4 linked regions of the Rhinolophus ferrumequinum genome follow. The protein of the gene in region 3 purifies or fractionates together with the protein of the main gene of each other region. This does not show direct contact. Links are inferred from orthologs where the notes say so. Each region holds a gene or a part of one and is shown on either strand. Other genes may lie near its edges.

What was found.
Region 1: the proteins of SLC30A4 (region 3) and METTL9 purify together in Homo sapiens (co-immunoprecipitation; 3 studies listed by BioGRID and IntAct, with this or other methods). This does not show direct contact. The link is inferred for Rhinolophus ferrumequinum from reciprocal best matches to the Homo sapiens genes SLC30A4 and METTL9.
Region 2: the proteins of SLC30A4 (region 3) and PDS5A purify together in Homo sapiens (affinity purification with mass spectrometry; 3 studies listed by BioGRID and IntAct, counting the BioPlex papers as one, with this or other methods). This does not show direct contact. The link is inferred for Rhinolophus ferrumequinum from reciprocal best matches to the Homo sapiens genes SLC30A4 and PDS5A.
Region 4: the proteins of SLC30A4 (region 3) and FUT8 purify together in Homo sapiens (co-immunoprecipitation; 3 studies listed by BioGRID and IntAct, with this or other methods). This does not show direct contact. The link is inferred for Rhinolophus ferrumequinum from reciprocal best matches to the Homo sapiens genes SLC30A4 and FUT8.

What each region holds. Positions count from the first base shown.
Region 1 is NW_022680357.1:16,855,676-16,863,165, reverse strand, and holds the start of METTL9 (protein-L-histidine N-pros-methyltransferase), read right to left. Parts: upstream 3,003-7,490; 5' UTR 2,840-3,002; coding exon 2,675-2,839; intron 1-2,674. UniProt on the Homo sapiens protein: Protein-histidine N-methyltransferase that specifically catalyzes 1-methylhistidine (pros-methylhistidine) methylation of target proteins.
Region 2 is NC_046288.1:14,335,599-14,343,367, reverse strand, and holds the start of PDS5A (sister chromatid cohesion protein PDS5 homolog A), read right to left. Parts: upstream 3,012-7,769; 5' UTR 2,871-3,011; intron 2,780-2,870; exon of another isoform or gene 2,649-2,779; intron 2,003-2,648; 5' UTR 1,963-2,002; coding exon 1,822-1,962; intron 1-1,821. UniProt on the Homo sapiens protein: Probable regulator of sister chromatid cohesion in mitosis which may stabilize cohesin complex association with chromatin. May couple sister chromatid cohesion during mitosis to DNA replication.
Region 3 is NC_046289.1:60,994,949-61,002,860, reverse strand, and holds the start of SLC30A4 (probable proton-coupled zinc antiporter SLC30A4), read right to left. Parts: upstream 3,020-7,912; 5' UTR 2,798-3,019; intron 2,667-2,797; 5' UTR 2,553-2,666; coding exon 2,162-2,552; intron 1-2,161. UniProt on the Homo sapiens protein: Probable proton-coupled zinc ion antiporter mediating zinc import from cytoplasm potentially into the endocytic compartment. Controls zinc deposition in milk.
Region 4 is NC_046289.1:30,711,402-30,718,233, forward strand, and holds the start of FUT8 (alpha-(1,6)-fucosyltransferase), read right to left. Parts: upstream 3,019-6,832; 5' UTR 1,689-3,018; intron 871-1,688; exon of another isoform or gene 456-870; intron 1-455. UniProt on the Homo sapiens protein: Catalyzes the addition of fucose in alpha 1-6 linkage to the first GlcNAc residue, next to the peptide chains in N-glycans.

The sequences.
Region 1 (7,490 bases), on a different chromosome or scaffold from region 3:
AATTTGAATTTCACATAAGAAACTTTCCCGTGTTACAAAACATCCTATTTTTTGTAACCATTTAAAAATATAGCTTACTTCACAGGTTGTGCAAAAAAGTCAGTGATCCAATTTGGCCTGCAAGCCAACCCCGCCCCCCCCTTCCCTGCTTCTCGGCTTGCCCCAAGTGAAACATAATCTCAGTTTTGAAGCTAGCATACCAAACCGAGTTATTGCAGTGGTGCTGCTACTATAGTTTCAGAGCTGCTTTAGCTCAAAGAAGCCTTGCATCTCTGGGCTACAGTAACTAAATAGCAATTGTTAATGAAGAAACATTGCCCAAGTGCTGGAGGATTCTTTTAACCATAGAATCCTCCATCATAATTTCTTAATAAAATAACCATAAGGAAAGCTTGTGCTAAGTATGGTTCAATCAAATCCATAACCTTACTTTCATGCAACTCCAAAAGAACCAGATGTGGCTGGCTATGGAACTCACATACCCAAATGAACACCAGAAGACCTTGTATAAAACTATTAATTTGAAGGGGGGAGAACCATTAGAGTTGAGTTACTTCACAAGCAACCAAGTTTATAAAGCAAATCCAGGATCCTGGAACATAAAGCAGAGAAGACAGTCTCCTGTTTCATTTAACCTCACTGTGGTTTGCATACATATTTCTTTTGTTCATTTTAAGCTTTGTTTGTGAACAACATTTTCATAATGTGAATGTATCATCTCGAAATAAAGTCGGGAATGATCATTCTAAGGAAAAGATCTATTCTCCTTCTCAATATTCAGAAAACACCGGTTTACTCTTCCACCTTGGAGAAATTAGGTGCCAAATTGTTAGTGCCACTGGTTAAAACACAGACACACACTCCTGAGTATCTCCAAAGCATAATGAAGTAAATGAGGTATCCAAAACCAGCACCAGTTTTCCTTAGAACCTGACAGATGATGCAGCTTTAAAAGGTACAACATTAGAAAGTAGCCTTTGTTACAAGGAGATATTCTGAGGCTACATCTATAGCTATAGTTCCACCTAGGTTCCATAAAAATCAAAGGAAACGGTTTTTTGATTTTTAACATTCGTCCCATTTTATGAGCAACGAAACATATCCAGTCTGTTGCAGTAGAGGTGGTCACAAGTGTTAGAATAAACACCAACAGCTAAAACCTTCAACCATAATTCCACATCAGTGGAAATCAGCCTTGTTTTTATCCTATCCGGGACCTTATTTCAACCAACTGCTGAAAGTGACATTTTTAATTCACTGTTTTACACCATTACCCATGTTTCATACGGATATATGACATTTTGGTAACTGTTCGTCATCACTACAGTAGAGCTGTTTACCTAAAAAGACTAATGTAAGTAATTAATCCATAGCAAAGAACGTGGTTTCGCAACTTAAAATCACCTAACAATATCATAGGAATTGCCACAGCTGTGGGACTACCAAAAAAAAAAAAAAAATCATGGAAATTTATGATTTCCTTTACAAACAGAAAACGGGCCATTATAAATATTTGCTAACTGAAAACTAAATGCTACTTTCCTGAATGAATTGCTTTCCGCCCCTTGGATAATTCCTTCCTTTCATTTAAACACACACACACACACACACACACACACACACACACACAAAGACAACGTGGGTGTAAAGTCTCTGAACCCCCAGCATAACAAGAAAAGCCACACAGGAGAAAACGAGAAGTCTACGAAAACGATGAGACACAAAATGGGGAATAAATGGAAAGGCAAAATGTACTGTAAATGCTACTATAAGCCAACACTATAGACTTCAACAGCGTGTCTTTTCAACGCATGTCACGTGTGAGCTGCAAACTACCTGGTGGTCAAACAGGACACCTCTCACTCTTCATTCCACAGCTGACCTGCACGTACTTCTTTAAACGGCACAAAACCAAGCTAATAAAAAAAAAAAAAAAAAAAAAAAAAAGAAAAAAAAAAAAAAAAAAGACGACCCAGCCGGTCCCATCGCATCAACTGCAACTCTTGAAACATTTCCTTCCTGCCCAGTTCCGGTGTGAAAACCCTGCCAGTTCCGAGCTGGCGCCCATCACCTCCCTCCCTTCTCACCACCCCTTTCGGGTCGGGCACCAACATCCAAGTTGGAAGCCGAGGTCCCGGGCCGGGTGGGACGCGAGCGACGACCTGTCAAACGCCTGTTCTAAGGGCGGCGGGGACATGTCACCTGAAGGAGCCCGGGGCGCTGAGCGGCGGCGGGCGGTGCACGGCCACGTTCCTTTATGACCCTTTGTACGACCGCGGACTGCTCCAGACAAAAAGCGGGGCCGGCCTCGCGGGGGCACGGGGCGTGCGCGGGGCGACGGGCTGGGCCTGGGCGGTGCTCCCCGAGGCCCGGCGCCCGCCGCGCGCCCACGGGCCCCCACGGTCCCCGGGCCCCGAGGGGGCCGCACGTCTGCAGCCACCGCCTGGGACGCGGGAACAATGCGGGCTCCGGGGCGCCCACGCTCCGGCCCGCGCCGGGGACACGGGAGGCCGCGGCCGCCGCGCCGGGAACAAAAGGCGCCGCGGGGCCCGGGCCGAGCGCCCGGCCCGGGAAACTTCGCGAGGCGCCGCGGCCCGCCGCCCCCACGCCGGCGGCCGCGCGAGGGAAGGCCCGGCCGCCACGCCCCCGCCCCCGCCCGCGGCCCGCTCCGTACCTGGTGGTTCTCCTTCCTGCCGCCCGCGGCGGCCGCCGGCCCGCCGGGGCCGCTCGTCATGTTCACGTACAGGGAGCGCGTGAGCGGGCTCCGCAGCGTCCACATCCTCCGCGCCAGCCACACGGACGCCAGGCTCAGGCACAGCCAGCCCGCCAGCAGTCTCATCAGGGACCGCGGCCGCTCGCTCCGATCACCGCCGGCGCCGCGGCGAGGAGCGGGAGACGCCGCCGCCTCCGGCCGCCGCCACCCGGGCCCGAGCCATCGCGCCCAACTTGCCCATCCAGCCCCTGCAGGGCCGAGGCGGGGGTGGGGAGGGGCGGGCGGCGCGCGGCCTTCCCGCCTCCCCCTTCCTTTCCGCCCGCGGAACGCCGCCAGCGGCGGCGCGGGTTTCCACCCGGAGCACGTACGAGCGGCGGTGGGGCGCGTTCTCGCCGGGGCGCGCTCCCCTCCACCCAATCAGCGGGTCGGGCCGGCCGGGAGGCGGGGCCGAGGGAGCGCGCATTCGCCTGGCGCGCGCGGCCCAGCCTCTCCTCGGCCCCGAGCTCCGCGTAATGGCGGCGATGATGGTAATTTTTTTAGGCTCCCTTCCGAAGGCGGTAATTGGAGCCTCCCGGTCCCTCCACCGTGGTGGCCGCGGGAATTCTGGGGTTGGCTCGCCTTAGTGATCGGCTCTGGGCCGCTCATCCCAACCCCGGCCGGACTTGAACCCTGCTGTGCCCATTGGTCCGGGGCAGAGGCGGCGGCGGCGCATTCCTTTCCTAGGACCAGACAATCAGACTGAGTCCTTGCGGGAGACGGACGCTGCCCGCTCGTCGCCGTTCCTGGCTTAGCTGCGTGGCTTCCTATTTACGTTCAGAGCCAACAAGCCAGACCCTCACCCCGGGGGCCTCCAGCCTGCTTTGCAGGCAGGCATCTGGGGGCGGAGGGCAGACCACCGCGTCCCGTTCCCCAAGCCAGGCCAGTTGCAGGCGACTGGTTTCTAAGAGGCCTCAGTGAAAGCTCTGCCTTTGTTGGAAGCTACTGCAGCTGGCGCACCTGTAGGTCATGCTTTGACGTCCTGATGACCCTGTCCAAGAATGAAGGAAGACCCCAAACTGGAGTCCCTGGCTGCTTGTTTCCTGGAACGAACAGGCGGAAGTTGGGCACGACACTCTTAAAGCCAACTAAGAGCTGGTATTTACCCGGATGTGTCTTTAATCATTTATAGCTCGGGGAGACCTAGTAGCAACATTCCAAACCTGAAGGGTTACACTGTGTTCCTGTGTCTGAAGTTCTTCCTGCTGCTACCCAAGCTGCAACCAAGGAGTAACATGTTTCATGGGTTCTCGAAGTTGAACACCTTCCTCGATTTGCTTAGAGAATGCTTTGGATTTAACTGCTCTAGAAATACTGTATATACATTTTATCTTAGTTCAAAAGAAACCTGTTAACGCCAACGTTGCATTTCAGAGGCTGTCATTTATACATCCACTGATGCGGAACAAAATCATTCCTTACCCACAGACGTTTTTATTAGATTCAGAGAATCTCAGCTTGGCACCTATCTATCGCTAACAGAGACATCCTGTTGCCTAATGCTACGTAGGCTATTAAGAAAGGGGGAGGGTACTTTGCGTTCTCTTCCACTATACTCTGGGACTGCTTCCTGCCAAAACCCCAAAGAGCTTGCACCTTACTAAATCTAATTCAAACCTCTCGTGATCCTGGCCCAAATCATCAAAAAGGATCTATGGTAGGACGTCCAAATACCTCAGTTTGTTTACCATGTCTCCTCTCCCTCCTGTCTCTTGGGATCAGTGTCACAGATAAAGCAGCTCTGTGCCAAAAGAAACCCTTCATCTTTTAGACAGGGGTGAAAGCAGCAAGAGCATATAAAATGACATATTTCGTTTCTGAAAACAAAAGGTAATGCCCCCCACTCTAAGCCTGATGAGCTGCAGCTCAGAGTCTGCAAATTGTGTCAGATGAGCAAGAAGCAACTAGATGGCTCTGGAGTCTGAAGGACAGGGTCAGGTGACTGCCAAGGAGCCCAGCATCTCAAAAAGAGCAGATTTTCACTTCTCACCTGAGCAGCGCTCCTGGAAGAATAAATCATTTCCATATTATCATACTCTATAATAATCACAAAATACTCCAACACATGTTATTTACACCCAGCAAGCACAGGAAGAAACCAAAGCACAGCGTGACCAAATGATTTGCCTAAAAGTAGCAGAGCAAATTCAATAGCAGACCTTTTCAAAGAAACCGGTATCCCAGCTCATGGTCCTTCGATCCATCTGAGAAGCCTCGCTGTCCTTCTCTTCTCAGAGAGCCTCCTGAATTACAAATGAGGAGGAAGGAAAAACAGCAAGAGTAAATATACTAAGCAGAAGTTCAGATTGCCCTCCGGGACTGCCCCTTTCCTTCATCTACTAGAATGTCACTACTGTATATTAAAACCTCAATTATCCATCACGGACAGGGGAAGAGGCACAGATCACACACACACACACACACACACACACACAAATATGAGTCAATATCCTTTCTAATGTGGCTTTGAAATGTAGGCAGTGACATTCAAAAGACAACGTAACTACCATTCTCTCTGCTGAGTTTTCTGTTCACTGCCCTACTGACCAGGAGCTTGGGTGTCCAGCTTGGGTCACAGCTCTGTGCATAGGCCCAAAATCTTGTCGGATCACTTACCTACCTAGATTTCAAGAAAGGGCACTTTTGCTGTGACTGTTCTTATCGACTACAAATTACGGCATTTTCATGTTTTTGATTACAAAGTCTAGTGTATAGAGAACCCACTTGGGAGAGCGACTTGGTTCTGTAGAGGGCACAAAGTGTGCCGGTCACTATTGGTCATTTGTCATCTCCCTGAAGAGATACTAGTCTAAAAAGAACTCATATAATCACCTGTTTTCATGGACTTGCATGTTTTAATACTTCTTAACAATGTTTTGTAGAGTGTCAGAGAAAGGTACAAACTTTCCTCAATATATTCAATGGAGGTGCCCTCCAATGGACAGGCCACATCAACAAAATAAAATTAGTAAATGTATTCAATACGTTTTTAAAATTAGTAAATGTAGGGGATTTTTAACTGGACTTCGTTGATATAATTTCAATCATGCAAAGACATCACAATGGTCTCTGACTGATACATTCTAAGCTAAGGTGGAACTGCAAACAGGTTTTTAAAAAATGGCAAAATAAAGCAGCAAAATTGAACAAGAAGTGGGAATACCTAGTGGTTCATCCTCTGTGCTCCTGAGACAGACAACCTGGGTTTGAAGCCTGGCTCTACGCCTCCTGCTTAAGCAATTTGTGGCAAATGACTTCTAGGTCTCAGTCTCCCCATCTGTAAAATGGGAGTGATAATAATGGTTACCTATCTTGTGGGGATGTGTAGAGGATTAAATGATATGTTCTAAATACAGAGGGCCCCAACACAGAGTAAGCTCTCCAAAAAAACGTTCACTTGTTCTTGTTTGTACTGTAACTTGGGTAAATCGACGTCTTCTGAACCTCCCTTTCCTCAGCTATACACTGAGGGCCATGGTTCTGAGCGGACTACTTCACATTGTGTCTCTGAGACACAGATGATCTGAAAGCTTCCTCAACTGTAGAAACATCAACCAAGGTTATCGCAATAGGGAGACTCAGTTCTAATGTGACAGTGAGCTCTGCAAAGCTGCTGTTCCATGAAACATCCCCATAGAGGCCAGTGATAACAGCTCCTCATGACGGGTCGGTTCCCAGACCCCTTCCTGAAAGTTGGAACCGAGGGAGTGAGGATGGTTGTGGGGGAAGGGAACCTAAAACAAAACAATGAAACTTTCAAACCTAAAGTCACAAAATCCGGCAGCAAACTCAAGCCACCTCCTTGTCAGGGGTGCCTGTCTTTCTGGAGGTAACCAGAACTCTCCCCAGATGGCCCATTTGTCTGCATCTGTGCCAGCCACAGAATTGCACCCGCTTGAAAGCTTCTGACCCCCGCGCTCTCCCTCCCATGGCAATGTCATACCTGTTTCAGTTTATGTCAGGAATAACATCAGAAAGACAAAGAAATACCACATTCACACAGTCAATAAATATTTATTGAGTCCCGTGCCATACACCAGCTGCTGGACTAAATAGAATGGAAAGCGTAATCAACACAATGTGTCACCTTCACACCCGCTGTCTAGTAGGGAGGCAGACCCGTCCAAGCAATCACAAAATGAACACACAATTACAACTGCTAAGTGCTAGGAACTGTATACAGTTAGGAGAACTTAGAGCAGAGCGAGCTGACCTAACTGGGTCAGGAAAGGCTGCCCCGAGGACGTGTGGCTTTGTGGCCCTCGTTTTGACATCGTGCTAAGCTGGAGAGCTTCCGAGTTGCCCAAGTTCCTCTGGACTGCAGTGACCCCTCCCCAGGCTGCTTTCAAACAGCGGGCGTGGTTGTTACGATGGAACCACAAGGCTCAGAGGAAACGTGTCTGTTCTCTTTGCACAAGCTGCTGAAGTCGTCCCCGAGCTCAGGGCCAGCGTCCACTTTAAACTTCACGTCCCACAAGACAAATTCCACTAAGGAAAGTCCTGCAGCCTAACACTCAACTAGATCCCCGACTCCAGCAAACAAATCAGTTTCTTCATGATCTCAAGGTTGAGGGGTCAGAAATCTTTTAATTCCATCTAACCGATGGTGGTACAACTCGAGTCAAACAAGAGTCGTATGCAGTGTCTTCAGCAAACTTGCTCTTCCCATGGAAACCCCCACCCTGGGCCTCAGTTTCTTTACTTTAAAACCAGCCACCTGTGTGCTTCCGTTGTGCCTGTA
Region 2 (7,769 bases), on a different chromosome or scaffold from region 3:
GGAGGGAGAAAGGCAAAATCTTAAGAATTCTTGAGAATAGCAAAATTTTAACAGCAGGACATTTAAATTGGTTAATATATATGACAATGTCAACTTACAAAAGAACTCATACCAAATGGATATTCTAACCCAATGCTCATTCTAGACTTGGTTCTATGTCCATTTATGGTTGACAGCATTTCTGATATTTAATCTACTTTCAAGTGGAAAATGTATATATAGTTGCAACTTTTTTTAAACCAGCTTATCCATCACTAGAATTCAAGGTTTCAATATCTTTAATATGATAACAATAAAAAAGATCCATAAATTTTTTTCTTAACAGTTTTTAATTTCATAATTTTTCAGCATCTCAAAACACTCAATATAACCTTAAGAAGCATCAATTAAGCACCTCACTTCATGTAAAATCTTTGGTATCAAGATTTCAATGAAAAGTTTTGTCCTATTCCTTCCAAAGAGGCAATAAATAAATAGATCTTAAACTACAAGAATATTTTAAATATTCACAAGCACTCACGACACTGTAAACATTTACTAGGCACACTATACTAAGCTCTAAGAGCAAAGGGGCAACATCATTCCCTAAAACTACATTTTCACCAAGTTGCTCAAGGTAGAAACACTGTCAACATTGTTTCTTCCCTCACCTCCCACCAAGTCTGATTCTAACTCTGAATTGTCTCTTAGATCATCCTCTATCACTTTACTCCCACAATCATTGACCTACCTCAAGATTTCAGCATCTTTCCCCTAGACTATTATTAACAGTTCCTAGCTGGACTCGCTGCTTCCAGCCTTTCCCTTCTCCAACCTAGCCCCAACTGTGACAGCGAAATGTCTTCAGCACTGGGAAATATCCTTTGGGGGTCAAAGATGCCCCGGTTGAGGAGCACTGTATCAAGTTAATCCCTTACTAAGAATGCATTTCTTTCTTTTTTTTTTAAACTTTTATTTTAAGTGTGTTTTTCCAGGACCCATCAGCTCCAAGTCAAGTAGTTGTTTCAATCCAGTTGTGGAGGGCACAGCTCACAGTGGCCCTTGTGGATATCCAACCTGCAACCTTGTTAAAAGCACGTGCTCTAACCAACTGAGCTAACTGGCTGCACCCAAGAATGCATTTATTTTTTTTTTAAGGCTGTGGCCACAAAAAATTGACCAACATAATGCTGAAATTTACAACCTTGACCTAATAAACTAAATAAGCTGACTCCTTATAAAAAGAGCCATCATACTCTCTTTTAAAACCCTTTGGAACATATGGACCTAAAACATCATCTTACTTTAAGCCTGAATTTTGAAGTCAGTACCTTCTATCAAAGTCTAACCATACTTAGACACATTTAAGTTTCTGGATATTAGAAAATTGTGACAATTTAAAGACTACCTTTTGGGCTTAAATCAAGTCTCCTCAGATGATGAAAACAGGACTTCCTAGGCAAATTATTACCTACATTTAAGGTTGCAAGCTACTTTGAACATAAATATTTTCATAAATATTTCTACAAAAAAACTTTAAAAGTTGAATTCTTGAAAAACAGTAAGATTAAAACACACACACACACACACACACACACACACACACCCTTCTAATTTCCCATAATGATTATGTCCCCACAGAACTTATTATTCAAAGATACAGCCGAGACAGAATACTTTTCAGAGAGGGTAAAAGAGAAGGCGATAAAATATCTAAAAAAAAAAAAAAGGCCTGGTAGGATTAAATTCTAAAGGCCAGGCCTCGCAGTGGAGTAATACCACAGGAGACAGCACCTCTTACCACACCCGTCTGAAGTGTGGACATTCTGTCCAGACGCTTACCTTCAGTCGTTTGATCATTTCGTCGGTGGTGATCTTGTCGGTGATCTCCTTTACCCCCGGAGGGTAAGCAATCTTCCCGTCTGCACTCACGACGCCACAGAGGGCAGTTGCAGGCTTGGGCTGCGCGGTGGAGAAGTCCATCCTGGGGGACAACTTTTCTTTCACAGTCCTCTACCGGCCTCTATCGGTCAGAAAACAAAAGTTCAGCGGGAAAGGGGCGACTTTGTAACCTCTTTTTTCATTTCAAAAAATCTCTAATCTGCAAAGGGCCTTTTCTCCCGGAAGGCCGGGGATTCGGCGGCGGCCCCGCCACCCGCTCCTTCCCGGGGTATGGACCCTAGCGGCTTCCCCTACACACGCGGGCCCGGCTAGTCCCGGGCCCACGGGGCTTTCTGGCACCAGGCGCTGCGGCCGCGGGAAGCGCAGAGCAGCGCCAGGAGTTTCCCATTCCGCCTTTCACAATGAAATCCACCCCCAAGCACCGAGGTCCGAAGTTTGGAGGCCTGGGGAGTCCGGCGAGACCCACAAGCCCCCCGCTCCGTCAGAGAGAAGCCCCGAGTCTCCGCCGGGCCGGTCCCCTCAGGGAAAAGAGACACGAGGCCTATAGTGCTCGGCTTAGGCCGCAAAACTAGCGATCAGACCGGACCCACACGCACCGGCGGCTCCCGAGAACGAACGCCCTTGCCGGGCCGAGCTTCGGGACCCCGGGCGTCCCCGCCACGCTCCCGCCCCTCCCCTGTCCCGCTCCCCCACCCCTACGGGAGGGGAAAACAAGCCACCCTCCACCCTAAACCCCACGCCAGGAAGCGGCTGACGCGGCTCCGCACTTCACATTTTGTTCCTTCAACTTCGGCTAAGGGACCCCAGCGGCTTCTCTCGCCCCCGGCGACTCGGTGCCGTCCCGCGCCGCCGAGGCCTTACCGGCACCTCCGGGCAGCCCTGCCGAGCTTCGGTCCCGCGCCCCCCCCCCCCGCCTCCGATCTCCCCTTCCGTCCCCTCCCTCCACCAGCCGAGGGCGGGAGCCGAGCTGCCGCCGCCACCGCCTTTACCTCCTCCTCCTCATGCGGACAGAAGGTGCATCGAACGCCCGGGCCTCTGTCAGGTGGTTGCGCCGCCGCCCCTCGTCGGGCTGCACACAAAGCGGCTCCGCCGGTCCCGCCGCCGCCGCCGCCGCCCGCCCCGGAGCGGCGCTGGGGCTGGCGGTGCCGAGGAGGAGCAGCCGCCGCGGGGGGAGACGCGGGGCTAGTGTGTGCTGGGCGGGGAGACACTGCCGCTCTCCGTCTGGCTGAGGAAGAGCAGCCTCGGCGGAGGCTCCTCCGGGAGCGTGTGCGCTCGAGTCCCCCCGGGTCCCCGCGGCCCGCCTCCTCGCACCTCGCGCCGGCCGGGTCCGCCGACCCGGACCCGGACGCCCCTAGCAGCGGCGCGCGCCCCGCCGTCCGTGCCCCAGGGAGCCGACGCCTCGCGTACCCACCGGCCGGTCACGCGAGCGGTGCGAGAGCACGCGAGAGCAGGGCGCGCGCCTCGCTCCCGCCCCTTCCTCCGCCGGCCGTGCCTCCGCCTCCCTCGGGCCCGAGGCTGCCGCGCGTGGGGCAGACAGCGCCGCCACCCGGTTGGCGCCAAGACCTGCCGCGCCGAGCGCTACGGGGAGGACGAGACCCAAAAGGCGAGCAGAGGCGGCGGGAAGCGAACCCGGTCCCGGAGGCCCTGTGAGGGTACTCAGGATACTGTACCTTAAGCCGCGGAAATGAGTTCATGACTTTTGGGAGTTATCCTGAAGGACGTGGACGGAACTGGTTGAAAGATGGTTAATTACTCGGTGAAAATGGACTGATTTCCTCCCTAGGGACAGAAGATCTGCAGACGGAGGAAAAGTTTTGCGACATGGCACAACGTGGGCCGCTTATTCTTGTTCTTTCTGACAGCCACCGGAGTTAGCCCTTTCCTCTTTAGATTTCTAGAATGAATATTTTGAAAGCTGCAAAATACAAAAATAGCAGAGTCGAGTGGTTCTCAAAGAATGGTCTGAAAAGTAAGTTCCTGGGCTCCATCCACTCCCAAACCGTGGGACCCAGAAATAAGAATGTTTACAAATTAGCTAGATGGTTCGTGTGAATATGGAAGAACTCATTTTAAAAAGAAGTATTTTAGATATACCGAAGAATAACTTTTTCCTTCATCTAGAGGAAAACCCAATGTAGTGGGTTTGAGCAGTTTAATGTAAAAAGTTGAACAAGTGAACCTCAGAAGCACATTGGTGCTTCAGAAGACGAACTTAAAAAAAACAACAACCCACAATAGTATGAAATAGCATTCAGCTCTTGAAACTGACTACTATCACAAGTTTAAAATGATATGCGATTATTCATTTAAATTATTCTTGATGGGTATCCCTTGGTCTTTTCCACATCCTTTCCTTAATCTTAAAAATATTAGAGGTACTGCACTCATGAATTGTTTTTCAGGTATTACACAAGGGAGATTCCAATCGCTTGGAATCTAACGTGCCACAGTTGCTGATTTACTAGAACTCTGCCTGAAAGTCTGTGCTTTGTTCTTGGGCAGTTAGAGTAGCAGGCAGAATCCATTCAAGAGTGGCTCTTTAGGCTCTCCCTCTCGCAGTGTTTTTTTATCTGTCACATTTAAATACCTAAAGAGTGATTGATGCTTTTCATTTTCATTCTTTCTCTAAGTAATTTTACCCATTATTAAATGGAATTTTGTATATGCCCATAAATTTTAATTTTATTTATTATTTTGTTAATATTGTTTGACTTTATGAACTCAAAAGATAGTAAGCCCTAGGGATTACAACACATAAACTTATATATTCTATAATTCAGGAATTCTAAAATTCCTGTTTTTACTTCCTTTCTTAAACATTTCTTTCCACTTACAGTAAATGAGATACAATCATTTGTGCATCAATTATTTTAAGAGGACCAACAATTATTTTAAGGCATTGTTTTGGTCACCGAGAAAAAAAATTGGTAGTGGGGAAGGGGACAAAATTCCTGCCTGCCTTGTTGGAGCTTAATTTGGGGGGGAGAGAAAAACAAACAAACAAACAAACAAATAAATAAATTGTTATAGAGGAAAATAGAGAAGAAGGGTGATGCAGATCCAATATAGCCTTTTGGACCTTTGTCCTTTGGTTTGTACTCTGACTGAAATGGGGAATTATTGGAGTGTTTTAAACAGAGAAGTGACGTGGTATGATTTATGTTCTATGAACGAGCAACCTTGCACAAATTACTTCATTTTTCTATGTAAAACAGGGATACTCATTTTCATCTGTAAAACAGGGATAATAGTTTTTTATTTCAGAGGGTCATTATGAGGAATAAATAAGTGAACATTTGTAAATTGCTTAGAATAGTAACTGGCACATACTGAGCTCTACTAATTTATATATATATATATATATATATATATATATATATATATATATATATATATATATATATATAATGAAAGAATCACTCTAGCTGCTGGGTTGAAAATAATGTAGAAATGCAAGTGTAGAAGTAAGGTAACTAAGCATAGACAACTGCAAAAATCCCAAGGAGAGATAGTAATAAGAACAAGGTAATAACTAACAGTGGAGGTGATGAAAACGATTTAAGAAAAAGAGTAGAGTCAAGAAATTAAAGAGGACTCCAGAGTTTTAGACCTTAGTAACTAGGATAAAGTAACTATTAATATAACATTAACTAAGGGGAGCACTTCGAGTATGCTTGGAGCAGATTTAGGGTCAGGATGTCTTTTAGACATCTAAGCTATTTAAAAGTCAATTTAAACGGTTACTGAACTGCTGCAGTGGGTAAATGCATTGTACTATGGTAGGCACGGGGGAAATATTTAAAAAGCAAAGAAGACAAAGTCCCTGCCATTAACAGGATCAGAATCTATTAGAGGAATCAGAGACACAATGAACGATAATTCGAGGCAAGGCTGTGATATATTCTATAATAGAGCTTTGAACTACATGGTCTATGAGCCTAGGAAAGGAGTGCTATGGTAGCTTTCCAAAGAGGAGCATTTGAAGCTGGGCCTTGAATGGTGAGTAATCGTGGTGAGCATTTGAGGAGCATTTGAGGCTGGGCCTTGAATGGTGAGTAATCGTGGTGAGTAGTTGTGAGAGGGCAATAGCTAATAGAGATAAGCACAAGGTGGAAAATGGCACAAGGAAAAGAATAAAACACAAAGGGGCGGGGATGGAGGTAATTAAGTGTAATTTTCGGGCAGGGTAGGGTGGTATAGTTAGAACAAATTGAAGAAAAGAGTAGCTTCGTGAGTCTTATTCTACCCCACATAATTTCAGTCAGCACCCCTCCCAATATACACAAATACAAGCATACAGTCTACATACAAAATGACATCTAATGCACCTTTAGGATAAATCCTTATACCCCTATATCAACCATACTACTAACCACAAATTCTGTAGAGAAATTCTAGATCCAAACTCTAAGGCAGTTCTGTCCAATAGAAATTTCTGCAACAGTAGAAATGTTCCATACCTGCATTGTTCAATACAGTAGCCGCTAGCCACATTTTAATTAATTTAATTTTGAAATCTAAACAGCCACATCTGGCTAGTGACTACTGTATTGGACAATGCAGTTCTAGAGTATAGTTTGTAGGAGTGATTGAGAGAAGTTGAGGGTAGAAGACAAACTGTGTTCATACTGAATGCTGTAGCTATTTAGCACAGCGATATTTTAAAAGGATGAATTGGAGTAATACAAAACTAAAGTCATTTATAGTGAAAGTGAACTAAGACAAAAATATAACCAAATTATAAAATTGCAAAAATATTTAAAGCAGTTTTTAAAAATGTGTTTATTCTATTTATCTGAAATTACTTGATTTTCAATTTGAAATGTAATTTGCTAAATCTATCCCGAATAATTTTACAAATTATAAATATGAATCATCCATGTATCTCCGTCACAGATAAATTTTAACAATATGTCATAATCACTATGAAACTAAAAAAATGGTACTTTATTTTAGTGTCTTTTCAGATACCACCGACAGCTTAGATTTGTTAAATATATTTAGGCATAGGATAATAGCATATCTATCTGTAGTGAATGAAATGAGTTTGACATGTTTCACAGCTGTCTGAATCATTTTGGTCTAGTATGACCAAGACGTTAGGATTAACTTGTTTGTCATAGTAATTTAAAGATTTTATTTGAATTTTGTCTAATATCTTAGTCTCCATGAACATCTTCAATTTAAAGTGTGAAGTGTGACCCACCTCATTAGCTGTATTAGCTTTCTTTGAGTTGTTTCATCAAAATTGAGTATTATTTAACAAGCAGGGACCGCAAACCACAACGCAATATTTTCAAATATGAAAGAAACTACAGGTACAAGCAACATGGGTAAACCTTAGTGACATAATGTGATAACCTGTTTACAAAATCCAAAAGCAAGACTCCGGGCAGTGATTACCCCTGGAGTACAGGGGAAGCAGGCAACATAGGGGAACAAGATGAGAGAATAAGTGCAAAGGTAGATACATTCTTATTAAATCTTTATTGTTAGGCAGAGTGGTGGTTCACATGTGTTCTTTGTATTAATTATATTAATGAACATATGAATGAATGAATGAATGAATGAATGAGGGCAATCCACGGACCAATGAGGGATGTGTTTATAACCCAAGAATTATGATTAATCCAATTCAGGGTACCTGAGGTCCAGAAGAGAAAAAAAAATAGACAAACTGAAGAAATTTTTAAAAAATTTATATTATAATATAAAATTTTTTGAAATTATATCCCCCAAAGTCAAAGAAGTTCTGCCCCATGATAATTTTTTTCCTAATAGTGGTAGTAAATTGAGAGATTATTTGGAGTTACATTTTATACAGATGCCATTTTGCAGCCCTTCATTAAGTTGCTAGTCCTAGGACGATAAATGATTATATGACTGAA
Region 3 (7,912 bases):
AACTTGTGCGGTGTATGTATACATGTTATTCTATATGGTCAACTAATTTTCCTAGCACCATTCATGAATAAGCTTTTATAACATAATACAGAATATTCAAACTTTTATGTGTATCAGGATGATCTGGAAGGTTTGTTAAACTACAGATTGCCTGAATCCACTCTTAGAATTTCTAATTAAGTAGGTTTGGATGGGGCCTGAGAGTTTATATTTCTAACATGTTCCCAGGTGATTCTGATACTTCTGGTCTTGGAAGCACACTTTGAGAATCACTGTTAGAATGTATAGTGGAACTTCATGATCAGGGTGTTGTGAAACATTAAGTGTGACGAACTGCGATCTCCCTATTTCTGGGATGGGTGTGCAGAGCCAAAAATAGCAGGAGAACTGAGGCTGGTGATCTTGTAGTCACATCCATTTACTCTGGTGTGCTCTATACAAATATCATTTTTTATGTATTCCCTGACGTGAAAAAGCTAGAAATGACTGACAGACAATACAGTTTGGTGGTTATGAACATGAGGCTTTGAAATCTCACAGACTCTGAGCAAGTTACTTAACATTTTTGAGCCTCAGTTTATTTATCTATAAAGTGAGAACACCTTTCAGCCACACTGTTCAATAGACCTTTCTGGGGTGAAGGAAATGCTCACATGTGGCTGTTGAGCATTTAAAATATGGCTAGTGCAACTGAGGAACTGAATTGCTTTTATTTAATTTTAATTAACCTAAATTTACAGAGTCACATGTTGGTGATCATCAGCAAAAATAGCAGAGTAAGGACCTCTGCAAATCATCTCCTCCATAAAAGCAATATGAACATGGGCAAAAATTGTCCCAATCAATTTTTCAGAACTCTGGAAATTAACCAAAGGCTGTTACAAGTAGCATTTATTCAAGGAAAATGGATGAATCTTGGTAAGAACAGTGAGCTCTGTGGCATTTTAACTTGACTTATACCTAACTCCCCTCTCCAGCTTTTCAGTAGCCTTGAAACCAACAAGCAGCAATCACAGTGAAAATCTCAGCCTGGAAGCCCCTGTAAGGGTTAGAATGGGGCTGGAGCTCCTTAAAAGCCCCATTCTTAAAGAACTGTCATTATCTGACCTGTCTGGTGGTTCCCTGGAAGACCATTACATGCCAGGCTGTTTTGAAAGCCACTGAGGTAGAGGGACCAGCCAGTATGAAGGCTTTATGGGCAAGAAAGAGCTTTGTGAATCGTAGAGAGAAAGGCAGCCAGCCTGGCTGAAGTGAGTACTGGGAGGAGTGGTATGAAATGAGGTAGGAAATATATACAATTTTCCTACATTTAACCTCCAACCAGCACCTTAAATCTGGACTGCCACCTCTGTTCTCATCATGGTTCATCATTAAGAGACAACATACATGGGAGAATGCTCTCCCTACTTTAATGTCACTTTGTAAACAGTCACTGAGAAGTTAGCAGTCACAGTAATGTGACTGTGAAATTAATTTCTAAACAAAGAATGTATTTTATAGTGAGAATGTATTACTTAACACAATTTAAAAAATGAAAAATAAAACCAAGTTCATAAACCCTGGGGGAGCCATTTTCTGCTTCCTTTCAGTTCCTCCCTATAAAGAAAAGCTTTCAGGTTAGTTGGTAGTATTTAATTTTGCAAATCTCTTGGATATAAATCCAAAAGAAAATACTATAAAGAGACCACTTTAGTAAAATGTAGAGGGAAAAAAAATCAGGCAGCTGGGACTGCAGATGCGGCTCTTCCATTACTACCTAATTTCCTCACAACTGAACCTCTCTGGGCCCTCACATTCCTTATGAGAAAAAGAAGGTGGAGCAGGTGTTCAGCAAGGTCCCTTCATATTGTAAAAATGTATGATTCTAAGTAATTTTAGCATCATTTGCTATTTTAAACATTGCAAAAATTAACCTGGTGTTTTATCAGAATTTTTTTTTTAAAAAAGAGGAAGTTACATGATATACAATGAAGATATTATACAATAAGTTTGTGTTGTGCTCAGGTTGATCTGCACTTTGGAACTGTGGCCTTTTCACATCACAAGAGATCAGTATCTTAATAAATAACGAGCTTCCTGAAAAAGAAAGTTTAAACCTCAAATCACGTGTAACTAAAGCTTGACAAATGGAAATGTCAAGTGAGTTGGCAACACAACTCACCTACAAGTTCTCCAATCATGAAAAGCAAGTACAGAACGGCAGCAATGGTCAATCTGGTTTTCACCTTTCTCTGCTTCAGCAACTCTCTCCGTTTGTTGCAGTTGTCACAGGGGTCCACCTTCAAACTCAGCTGACTGTTGCTCAAAGGTAAGTCCTGATCCAGTAAGGAATCATCATCGGCCTGAAGGGCCGGGTGCGCCCCGTTAATAGGCCTTTCCGGGGTTTCGGAACCATCATCCGCCACCACAACTCGAAGTTTGTTAAACCGAGAAAGCCCTTCGTCCCCCACCTCGTCCGAGAAGTCAAAGGCGCTGGTGTCATTTAAAAACAGCGGCGCATCATCTTTCCTCAGCAGAGATTTCAGACGCTTCCACGCGCTGGATCCGGCCATCGCAGAGGCCGTGCGGCCGCGGCGCGGAACGGCTCGGTGCTGGCGGACGGCTGGCAGCTCCTACTTCACCGGAGCGCCAGTTCTCGATGGCACTGCCGCGCGTTCCTCCCCATCCTGTGGAAAACGGAACACGTTATAAATTAAAGGCGCCCCATCAGAGCTCACAAGTTCCGAAGCCCAGGGCGGCAGGGGACACAGGGCCGGCTCCAAGGCGCCGGGGCTCCGCGAAGGGGCGGCGCGTCTACCTGGGGCGCTGCCGCGGAGCCGCCGTTCATCTCCCCGCCCTCGGCCGGCTTGGTAAGGCCGGCTCGCACAGCTCGGCCCGGAGCCGCGGGAGAGCGGGGCCGATCTCTCGCCTGCAGCGCCCGCAGCTCCAGGCCGGCTCCGCGGGTCTGACAGGTTCGGAGCCCGGCGCCCGTGACCGCCGCCTCCCGCTGCCCTGAGCGAGGCCGCGCGCGTGCGCCGCAGCAGCCGCAGGCGAAGCGCGCGAGAGAGGGGTCGACGCGGGGATACGCAGGCCCTAGCGCAGGGCTGGGGCGCCCGCGAGGGCGGGGCAGGGGCGCACTCCGCGTACCCCAGCCGGGCGCTGCTGGTCCTTGTCTGCCCGAGGGACACTCGCTGGCGAAGCCCCAGTCTCCGGCCGGACCCTTCCCACTCTCCTTGTTGTGAGACAGATGGAACTGGGGTCCGCAGGGTCAGTGGGTAGAATCGAACGGTCCCGCCCAGGACTGAGCGTTGTGGCCGGGAGGTCGCTCCACCCAAGGAGGGCCTTGGGAAAATCTCGGTCAGATCTTGGTTACGGAGGCTCGGCAGAAAACCAATTTAGCGCTCTCTAGTTGCTGCCTCTCTGGCAAGTTCGCAAAATTTGCTGCACAGTCAGGCCAACTTGGAGAGGGGCAAGGCTTATGGTCGTAAGCAGTTGTGTTTTAATATATATTTAATATTGTTTTTCAGCAAATTATGTGGTGTTCTCTGTGTGCTTACTCCTCGTTCCTTTTGCCTCCAAGTATTCACGACATGGACTAAACCCAAGCACAGAAAATCTAGTAAAAGTTATTTGTTCTGGCCTTTGGTTCTGTTTAACTGAACACATAATTCAAAATCATTAAGTTCTAAGTAGTAGCTTCTAATTTAGACCTAAATTTTAATGGCAAAATGAATCACAATCACTACCCCATCCCTAGTGATTCCCTGGGTGGGTTTTAGAGGATTTAGGAGGCCTTAAACTTATGTGCAAAATTTTGTGAGTATATGTATTTTCTTCAGTAAGTTTCTTAACCATCATATTCTCAAATGGGGTTAAGACTCAAATAAGATTTAAAACAACAGCAACAACACAACACTTACCAGGAGAAATCTTATAGATGAAGCCCCTAACTTCTACGTGGAGCTGAATTGTAGTGCACACTCCTATTTATCCAGTGTCGATAAATGTTTTTTGACAACAGTTGACACGGACTACCAAATTTCAAGTTAACAAGAAGTACAATAAAAAGTCACATGAAACATCATTTTCCTCCAAAGATTCCGATGACACTTAGAATCTTACATGCCTCAGGTGCAAGAACTTTTGGACTCAAGGAGGGTCCCTCACTTTTGACTGCCCACAATATTCCTACAGAGCTGCAGCCGTGGGAGTCAGGTTAGGATATCTGGATCAGAGATCCCATGGTTCCCAAGACCCAGAATATTCAATAATCAGGGCACAGAGGTCGTTATCAGAAGAATGGAGAGAGCTTACTGAAGGTTGCTTGCCTAACCCCAAATATCTTAATCCACCCAGTTTGGGAATAGATTATTTGTTTGGTTTTTATTTGTTTATTATACTGCCTGACATTCTAATGAGAGAGACAAATGAATAAAGCAAATATTTCAGGAGTGTGATAGCTATCTCTTTAGTAGAAATTCTTCAACTGAGATTCCATTTAAGGAAATGGGATAGATGTTTTCAAGAAAAGTTGAGGCCAGAGCATGAATTTTTTTTTTTTTTTGAGTATTTACAGTAAACTTTGTTGGGAAGGATTGCAGTTCTGCATCCCAATTTATTTTAACTATTTTGTATCACTGGGTACCTGAAGAAATGTTGGGAGGACAACAAAAACTATGGTGATTTTAACATATGTCCAAAAATTCTGTGATATGCTTCCTATCAAGAGGTGGAGCTTAATTCCTCCTCTAATTGAGTGTGGGCTGCTCTTAATGAATAGCTTGTGGCCCATAATGAATAGAATCTGGCATAAGTGACAGTGTATGACTTACAAGACTAGGTCATAAAAGGCATTGCAGCTGCCTTCTTGTTCTCGCTCTAGGATCACTTGTACTGGGGGAAGCCAGAGCTACCAGGTCATGAGGAAAGCCCAAGTGATGAAGAACTGAGGCCTCCTGTCAACAGCCATGTGAGTGAGCCGTATTGGAAGTGGATCCTCCAGCCCTCGTGAAGCCTTCCCATTACAGCAGCCTTGGCCATGTTCACTGAAACCTCATGAGAGATCCTGGGCAGAAACACCCAGGTAAGCCACTTCCAGATGACCCAGAGAGACTGTGAGATAATAAATGTGCATTATTTTAATATGGTAAGTTTTGGGGTAATTTATTACCCAGCAGTAAATAACTAATACACTCTATATCAACTTTCCTTTGTATCAGGAAACACACTTTTCTTATTCTTTAATCATATAGGCTCTTGTTCATAGGTCTGCCCTTGGGTTAGTGGCATGATTTCTATCATTGAGCTTTAAAATGTGCTAAATAAAAAGACTTCTGTGAATAGTCTTGGAATGTAACCACTATTTGCAACCTTGACAAAGGAACTTTTGAAACATAATCCATTTATAATCTGGGTACTGCCTGTTGTTCTGCTAGCTATTGCTCAGTATACCATTCTTTTATAAGATACTTCATATTTCTTTCAGCATGAAGAGCTTTTTTGCATGGGAAAATGAAAAAGTTGCCAACCATTTGGCCCATCGCTTAACCAGGTAACTCATAATACACAGATTGTTTAGGTAATAGCAGAGGCCTGTCAGTTCAATTGCAAGACACAGAACATACCATGGGGCAATTAACTGCAGTAGATGCAAAATATCCTATGTTAAAATCTGTTTTCTGGCCCAGACATCTCTTGGAAGAAATGACAATGCTAAAAATAATATTACAGCCAACATTTACTTAAGGCTTGTTTATGTGCCAGGCACTATGCAAGGGACCTAACTTATATTAGCTCATTTAATTCTTAGAACATCACTATGAAGAACGTAGTGATTCAAAGCATGGGTCTTGCAATCATACTGTATTTGAATCCTGGCTTTACCATTAACAGTCATATAATCTTTGGTAAATGATTTAACCTCTTTGTGCTTCAGTTTTCTTGTGAAATCCCTCTTGGAGATGAAAAAAAAAGTGGAAAAGTTGTTTGTTTGTTTTTAAATTGAAATATGGGAAAAGGTGCCGCTTAGTTGTCAGGTTCAAATGCTGCATATTCCCCATCCTGAGAACTCTCTCTATTGGAGTCTGTAGGTTCTCATAGGATGTTTTTGGAATGTGTTCTTTTATCTTTTCCAGGACGGATGAAAGCTATTGGATGCATATGAACAAGGGCTACTGATGTGATACACAACTATGGTGAGTGTAATCATTTCTTCCGTCTATGGATAACGCTAGTAACAGAGTGGCTGGAGATTCAGTTTAACCCCTCCTCCAGAGGAGAAGAAGAAGGACCCGAAATAGATAAGAGAATTATGCCAGGACAGGCAAATTACCTCTTGGACAGGGAGGAGATAAAGGAAAGAATCTCTGGCCAAAAGTCCATCTTTCCTGTCAGGCAAACCTGTGAGCCGAAACCTACTCAATCAAATTCATTGTTTTCATACTTTGTTTTTGTCTTACCTTAGTTTTAAAAGTAAACATTCCTATGGATTCCTCTAACCATGTCTGGCTGAAAGGAGAAGAAATGAGAGATTCCAGCTGGGACAGGGGTTTAAGGACTGAGCACACCAGCCCTGGAGTCTGGAGAGGGTAGCTGGGCTGGGAGAACTTAAAGATAAGGGTGGAAGCCTGACTTTGGAAATGCTTCGTTGTAGATAAGAGCACCACCTGAGAACTTGGAGAACTTGGTTCAGCTGCTAATTTTGCCATCCATTCACTGCAATCCCTAGCAGTGTACTATTGCTGAGCTCATTTTCTTGTCCATAAAAGTAGAAAATAATATTTGCCCTACCTATTTCATAGGGACACTATAAGAATCCAATGAAATTTTTGTATGTGAAAGAAAGCATTCCCTTACCTACTTTTCTAGAGAGAGCTATTAAAGACCATGCTATCTGTACCAAACTGCAAAACAAGGGACCTGGAAAATGCTGGTCATCAAGATTCCTCCACTTGTATCTATCCCTTCTTAGGATTGCTAAACTCCAGTCCTTGGTTTATTAATGACATGCTCTGACTTATTTAGATCTCTTGATCATTGCCACACACATTACTGTTATGACTACTTCATTTCTATCCTAAGCTGTTTTTGTGTCCATAGCACCTAACATCATACTCATACCAGGAGTCCTGTAAGTCCGCATGGATTAAATAAGAAAATATCTTTATCATAGAGAGTTAATCCATAATTTTAAATTTTCCACTAACAAACTTTTTTATTTCTTTAAGCTGGTGTGTAAGGTCATTTCTAAGAAATTCCTTATGGTGAGATCATTCTGTCTCATGATGATTGGAGTTTATTAATACACTAATAGTTTATATTTATACCAGACTTATTTCAAAGAATATTATAACACTTACGAATTAAGCCAAGACAGAGAAGCTACTGCAGACAAAGTGACTCTTTTGTGGCCTCTAACAACTGGTAGCTTTAAACAATGAAGGCTATTGTGTAAGAACGCCCTCCTGGGGTTATTGTGAGGTTTAATTAGATTAAAATCTACAGTGTTTTGAGTTTTTCCTCAGAATCCCTTAATAAATAAAGATGACATTAATTTTTTTAAAGTATCTTTATATTGGTCCCCTCAGAACCAAATGTAACAAGTTCACCTCCTGTTTAACTCCCTATTTTCCCTGAAGCAAAAAAACTCAAGACTAGGCCAACCTAAATTACCTTTAATGGCTTTAAACTGACTACAGAGCACACATGACTGACTACAACTTAGTATCCTAATCACAAAGATCTTAGTGTATGATTTACAGGACACAATAATGCCGCATAATCACTATGCCACATGGTAATTAGATATAAATTACTGTAATTATTACAGCTGGCTTTTTACTGACCAAAGTTTTACTTGCTTTTGTTATTTATATTTGAATAACTCACATTCTGCTCATTTGCAAATAGGGTTTAAAGCAGTAGTTCTTTAGTA
Region 4 (6,832 bases), about 30 Mb from region 3:
TCCTTCTCCCCATAGCCAGTGACTATAGGGACCGAGTTGCTGGCGAAAGGGCAGGTAGACATGGAGAAGAGAAGAGGGACACCTCCCACCCCGCCCCCATCCCTTCTCTCCTCGGCTTCGGCCCCTGCCCTAAGCAAGGATGCGAGACGCCGAGGGCAGCAGCAGCGACGCCGCCGCTCCGCGTCCAGGTCCGGACGGCGGGCGCCCCTCACCCCCAAGCCCGCGCCCTCCGGTCCGCTCAAAGGCACCCGCCAGAGCGTCCCAGGGGCTCCCTCCCCACTTTTCCCGGAGCCGCTGGATAAGCAGCAGCAGTTGCAGCAACAGGCCTGTGGATCGCCTGGGGGAAAAGAGCAGCGATAGCCTCCAGTCACATCCCCAGAGCCTCATCAGATCCCGCGCTTCCCCAGCCACAGACTCCGAGGCTCGCGGGGCCCGGCCCCCAAACGCCCCCTTACCCGAGGCGGGAGAAGAGGCGGTCTCCGCCGTTCCCCAGTCGCCGCCGCCACAGCCCTCAGCCGCAGCTGCTCAACGTTGGGGCAGCGGGAGGGGTGGCTGGGTGGAGGATGCTACTCCCGACTGAAGGGAGAGGAAGAAACGGAAACAGGAACCACCGCCGCCGCCGCTTAACGGAGCCTTCGGCGCCAGTGACTGAGGGAGAGCGCGAGGCGGCGCGAGCCCGGCAGTCGCTGACAGCGCGAGACCGAGCGCGAGCCGGGTCCCGGGCGCGCGACCCCGAGCAGCGCCGGCCCCATTCCGCGAGAAGAGGAAGGGGACCGGTTGGCTGGGGGCTGGGAGGGGGCGGCGGGGGGCGGGGGCCTGCAGCGGAGGGAACCCCGCCACTCCGGTCGACCGAAGATAACGCGCGCACGCGCCGGAGCGGCTGACAACCAGCGCAGGCGGGGAAGCCCCGGCTAGCGCAAGCGTGCGCGCGCGAATGGGGGCGCGCGCCCCTCAGCGTTCCAGGCTTCTGGGAGAGGGCGCGCATGCGCCGGCCGCTGCCACCTACGGCGACCCTGGCATGTGCTAGGGCTTCACCCCGCCCCCTTCTCGTTGCGCCCTTGGTTAGCGTAGCCGCAGCATCCACAGCCAGGCAGATCCGCGGGCCACAGCGGGACCAGGAGACTTCCAGCAGGGCAGCAGTTGCGCGCACAGGCGCCGGCTGCAACACGAGCGTACGCCGCCCTCTACCGCCAGAAGGCCGGAGGCTGAGGGGGGCGCGAGCGTAGCCGGACTCCCCATTCCCGGAGCGCCACCTCCAGGGAATGCCGTATTCTCCACCGCCAGGAATGGACCGGCCTATGCCAGTTTAGCCCGCAGCCCTAAGGAGCACTGGTACTGGAGGAGATTGAAAGGCGGTTCTTTGCTGTTTATTAGGGGTGACTGCTGCTGCTCAGTCGCTGCAGGCAGGTCTGGCCGCTCGTCTGCAGTTTGCAACACGGACTGATGCCATAGAATGACATCGCACCCACAATGCGACTAACGAAGTCGCACCCACTTTATCTTATGAGAGCTGTTTTCACGTTCGCCCGGACAGAAAGGTCTCCCACGAGGGCCTGAGTTCGATGCCTGGCCTCTCCCCCGACCCGCGACTGGCGGCTGCGACAGCCTCTCTGAAGCGGAAGTTTATTCAGTATGGGAAAGAGAACACGGGACGGGGTAGGGGAGCTTTTCCTTAGGATGCTTCCTACCCGCTCGGACTCGGGAAATTCCTGGCGCCCGCGATGCAGAGCAGTGAGCCGCAGAACTAACCCACACCAGCCCAGATCGCGAGCTGAGACGCAGGACCGGAGCGCGCTGCCCCCGCACACAAAGTAGTCGCCGGCTAAGGGGTGCCATGATGGCCAATCAGGGACGCGAATTGCGTGAGTGGAGTGCGAGCAGACCAATCAGAGGGCGAGAGGATGAGCTTCCCGTACCGAACTCTTCCCTGTGCGTCCGGACCCAGATCCCAAGCCTAGGGCGCAGTGCCGTGGAAAAGCGAAATGGTGACCTAAGGACAAAAGTTATCCCTCTAGACTTGGTTATTTTTAAGTAAATGCCTTGGGTACTTATCCTAGAGCAAATAGTGCGGACTTTTAGATGCTGAATGTGAAAAGAATCACAGAAAAGATATTTAAGAGACAGTGGCCTGCCAAGACTGCAATCTGCCTAATAACATTCATAAATTTACATACAGTATGTATTGAAACCATCCTATAGGCCAGGAACTGTATTACAAATATAATACTGTTGAATCAAAGAAGAAATTTCCCTGTCCCTCAAGGAGCTCAGCTTCTGAGGGAGATTTGCTGAACCTTGTGGCTCGTATTTATTGGCAGCCCTTTAAACAAAAAGCTCTTCACGAAGTAGTTTACAATCATTTTTATGATTATCGCCCTGTGAAAAGGGGAAATTAAGAGAAAAGTACAATGACTTATCTAAGGTTACACAAAAAATATACTGGCAGAGCCAGAATTATGTTCCAAGTCAGAGAGCTTTGTCATCAATCAACCATCATTTATTGAATACATGGTTGCTATCCTCCACTAAAGACGTTTCTGCACTAAGCTTATAAACAGAAGAAAATTCTGTTATAAGGGCCACAGGCTTTGGTTGTTGGAAACAAATTTTAGGCTTATGCCATAGAAAGATGGGTTAAAGGCCAAAGTCTTATTAGTCATTTTGTAGATAATTTTTAGAAGTCAGATATGAGGTGGATATTTACTTTTTAGTTGAAACAGCATTTAAAAAAAATCTTAGCAAACATGTTTAACTTCAAAGCTTACCTTGTATACTTCAAGATCCCAAATTCAAAGCTTTACTCTTGCCTCAAAACATCCTGTTTTTTTGTCTGGTCTTCATTTTTCCATTCCAGAAACCTAGAGATTAAAATATTTATCTTCCCTGCCTCCTGCTCAAAAAGGAAAAAAAAAATCTGTCCAAGGAATGTTTGTCTAAGATTTGTCCAATGCATTTTCATAGTACAGTATAAAATATTATTAAAATACCAAATAACTGGTGTCTCTAGCATATACTCAGAAACTAGGTCTTCGGCAATTCCAACTGCACTCTGTTGAGTCAGTGCGTTTCTCAGCCTGTGACAACACTGTTATCAAGGTCCTTTCCAAGATATGCCCAGGATTTAGCTGCCACCTCAGAACTGGAAGTATCAGTTAAAACAACTAACTTTTGAGAACAAATCTTTATACATTAAGTTCCAGGCCAATTATCAATTTACAGAAAATTCACAAGTCTCAGCTTTTAAAAAACACATTTCTTTTATTCTTTCCAGAGAGGAATATTACTGAAACTGCCTTTCTCTTGCCAGGTTAAATTTCTGAGTGAGAAAGTATCCCCACAAGGTTCTACACATCACTGGCCACCAGAAAACATCTCTGTCAAAGAATGTTTTCTCCACAAGCTCCAGCCTCCCTCTCTGCTGCTGGGCCTTCTCACTCTCTCTTCTCACCCCAGCTGCCTGACTCTGCCTCGCATCACTCCTAGTTTCAGGTATTTGCTTAAGAAAGTAGAAGTGTTCCACCACTTCCTCCACCCCTCCCTCATTAACTAGGCTTTAGTCCTATCTGTGCTTATGCAAAAACTTGAAGATAAGTTCTGCTCAACAAAACACTGTACAGAATATTTTTCATGACATTTTATACTGTGAACTAATAGAATCTTGTCAATACATCATATTTTACACAGCCTGGGTCAAATTCTTAGTCTTCAACCAGAACTGTGGGGTCTTGCGGGTGGGGCAAGGAGAAGTCAACCATTAGACAATGGAAAAATATCAAAATGAAAGTTAAGTGAGTACCTGAGTAGCCATTTTATTGAGATTAGCTGATCGAATTAAAGAACTTGAATACTATCACATTTCAAAAGTTGTGAACATTCTTGTAGGAACTAGTTTGAAATTTACTACAATTTTATTAAAGACTATAATAAAAATAATAGCCAGTGTGTAATACTGCTGAATGCCAGGCCCCATGATAAACTCTTGGCCTCCATCATTTATTCTCAAATCAACCTTTCAAGGTAGACCTTGTAATTACCATGGGGAGATCTGTGGGGTCCCAGAGAAGGGTTGAGGAGGCTCTCAGATGTTTCAGCAGCAGCTACTTACCAAATAGTTTAGAAATTTTTCCATCTCCCCCAATGTGGACCAACCAGATGTCAGCCCTGGAAACATTCCTAATAATTTTTAATAATTTTTTTATTGTTCTTGTTTTCTAATTGTTGCTCCAGCTACATTTTTTTTAAAGTTTATTGGGGTGACAATTGTTAGTAAAGTTACATAGATTTCAGGTATACAATTCTGTATTACATCATCTGTATATCGCATTGTGTGTTCACCACCCAGAGTCAGTTCTCTTTTCATCACCATATAGTTGGTCCCCTTTACCTTCATCTACCACCCTCCTACCCCCTTACCCTCTGGTAACACTAAACTGTTGTCTGTGTCTATGAGTTTTTGTTTCTCATTTGTTTGTCTTGTTCTTTTGTTGTTTTCGGTTTATATACCATATATCAGTGAAATCATATGGTTCTCTACTTTAAGATCCATCCATGTTGTCAAAAATGGTCCTATTTCATTTTTTCATACTGCCGAATATTATTTCATTGTGTTTATATACCAAACTTCTTTATCCATTCATCTATCAAAGGACATTTTTGTTTTTTCCAGTCTTGGCCACCGTAAATAAAGCTGCAGTGAACATTGGAGCACGCTTGTCTTTATGGATAAATGTTTTCAGATTTTTTGGGTAGATACCCAGGAGAGGGATTGCTGGGTCATATGGTAATTTTTTGAGGAACCTCCACACTCCCTTCCATAGCGGCTGCACCAATCTGCATTCCCACCAACAGTGTATGAGGGTTCCTTTTTCTCCACAGCCCCTCCAACACTTATGAGTGAGGTGATATCTCGTTGTGGGTTTTATTTGCATTTCTCTGATGATTAATGATGTTGAGCATTTTTTCATATGTTTATTTGCCATTTGTATGTCCTCTTTGGAGAAATGTCTCTTCAGGTCCTCTGCCCATTTTTCAGTTGGGTTGTTTATTTTTTTTAGTTGTTGAGTTGTATGAGTTCCTTCCAGCTACATTTCTTAAAGGATTCCATTTTGCAGTAAATCATCCAAAGGACAGCACCGTTGTTGCTATATGCAAGAAGGTATGACCTTGTGGTAATCATTTTACACATTTGGTCCTTAATTTCCTCACCTATAAAATAAAGGATTGTACTACATAAATTTTAGTTGTTTGCCAGTTCTAAACTATAACTCTAGCCAGCTTGACAGTAACTACAACAATGAAATATGGAGAAACAGTCTATGTCTTCAAATTCAATAAATGTTTTAAGTCACCTTTGAGCCAACTCCTTAAATAGAAACTATACACCCACTCATTAAAGAGCCAGAGCCAATCTTTCCAATCAGAAGAATCAATGAAGTGATTGACTTAAAGACTGATAAAACTTACCAAACTATCCCTCCCTATGACTTGCCTCCATGGCTGTAATTTCCTTCTTCTCCTTTGGGATAAAGTACCATATAGTTCACACTGTTAATTTCTTTTTCAACATCCACTTCTGCATCTTCTTTATTAATAGAGTTGCTTGTTTTGTTTTTGTTTGTTTTTTTTAGGTAACCATCCAACCTCCATCTACAAAAGGGCAACTCAGCCTGAGTCAATCAGTAAATGAATTCCCTGGTATGGTAGAGATTTGTAATGCTTGCCCTGTCTTTCCAGGCATGTACAGAGATTACATTTTCAAGCATACATCCCTGCCACCCACCCCTACCCTTGAAGTTGGCTGGACCATGTAACTAATTGTAACCACTAGTCTATAGTGGGTTGTGGGTAGAAGTCAGTATGTGTCACTTCCAGGTAAAACATTTAATTGCAAGTATAAGTTCTTAGAGTTTTTATTCTTCTCCAGCCTCAAGGCCAGTATTATTGAAAATGATAAAAACCTTTGTCAACCTAGGTCCCCAAGAAAGGACAGTATAGAACAGCCCACCTCCAACCCTCATCAAGTCAGGATGGATATATAGTTTGAGTGAAAAAATACACCTTTGTTGTTTAAGCCACTAAGATTTGGAGTTTTTTGTTTTTTGGGTTTTTGTTTGTTTGTTTGTTTGTTACTGCAGTGTGACCTAGAATTTAAGTTATGCTAGATCCTAGACTATTCTAATTAATACACCTGAAAACCATTATAGTCCTGGGTAAATGCCCAATCAGACTAAAGGGAAGGATTTTTAGTCCATGCTTAGGGAAGAGGATTCTCTTTCCTACCAGGTATGAACAAGTCAGCTATATTGCCACTGGTAGAAAGCTAATGACCACAAGAGGAACTAACCTCAGAATGAAGTCAACACACTGAGGACGGCAAACAGCTAAGAACCCTTGAGGATCTTATTGAGCTGATGGTTATATCACCTGAAGGCTACTCCTCTCTGAACTTGAAATTCTGCAAAATAATAATTCTGTTTGCTCGTTTCTCCATAACACAGTAAGCAGAAACTATACCTTATATATCTTTAATTTCATCATAGTTCCTAACATAGATCTAGCTCAAAGAGCACTAAAAAATATTAGGTGAGTTAGAATTTTAAAAATATAATGGCTCACCATCTTGCCTTCAGAAATAAAATATTACCTGCATTAACAAGGGGAAAAAGTAATTTGATTCAACCCAATCTTTTTTACAGATGAAGAGATTAAGAACCAGACACAGTACAAGATTTATCAAGTTCATATAGCTTTGCTATGGCAGAACTGAGAGGGAAAAAAAAAAACCTAATAATTGCCTCATCAAAAATGACCATAGTTTCCAACTCAACATAGG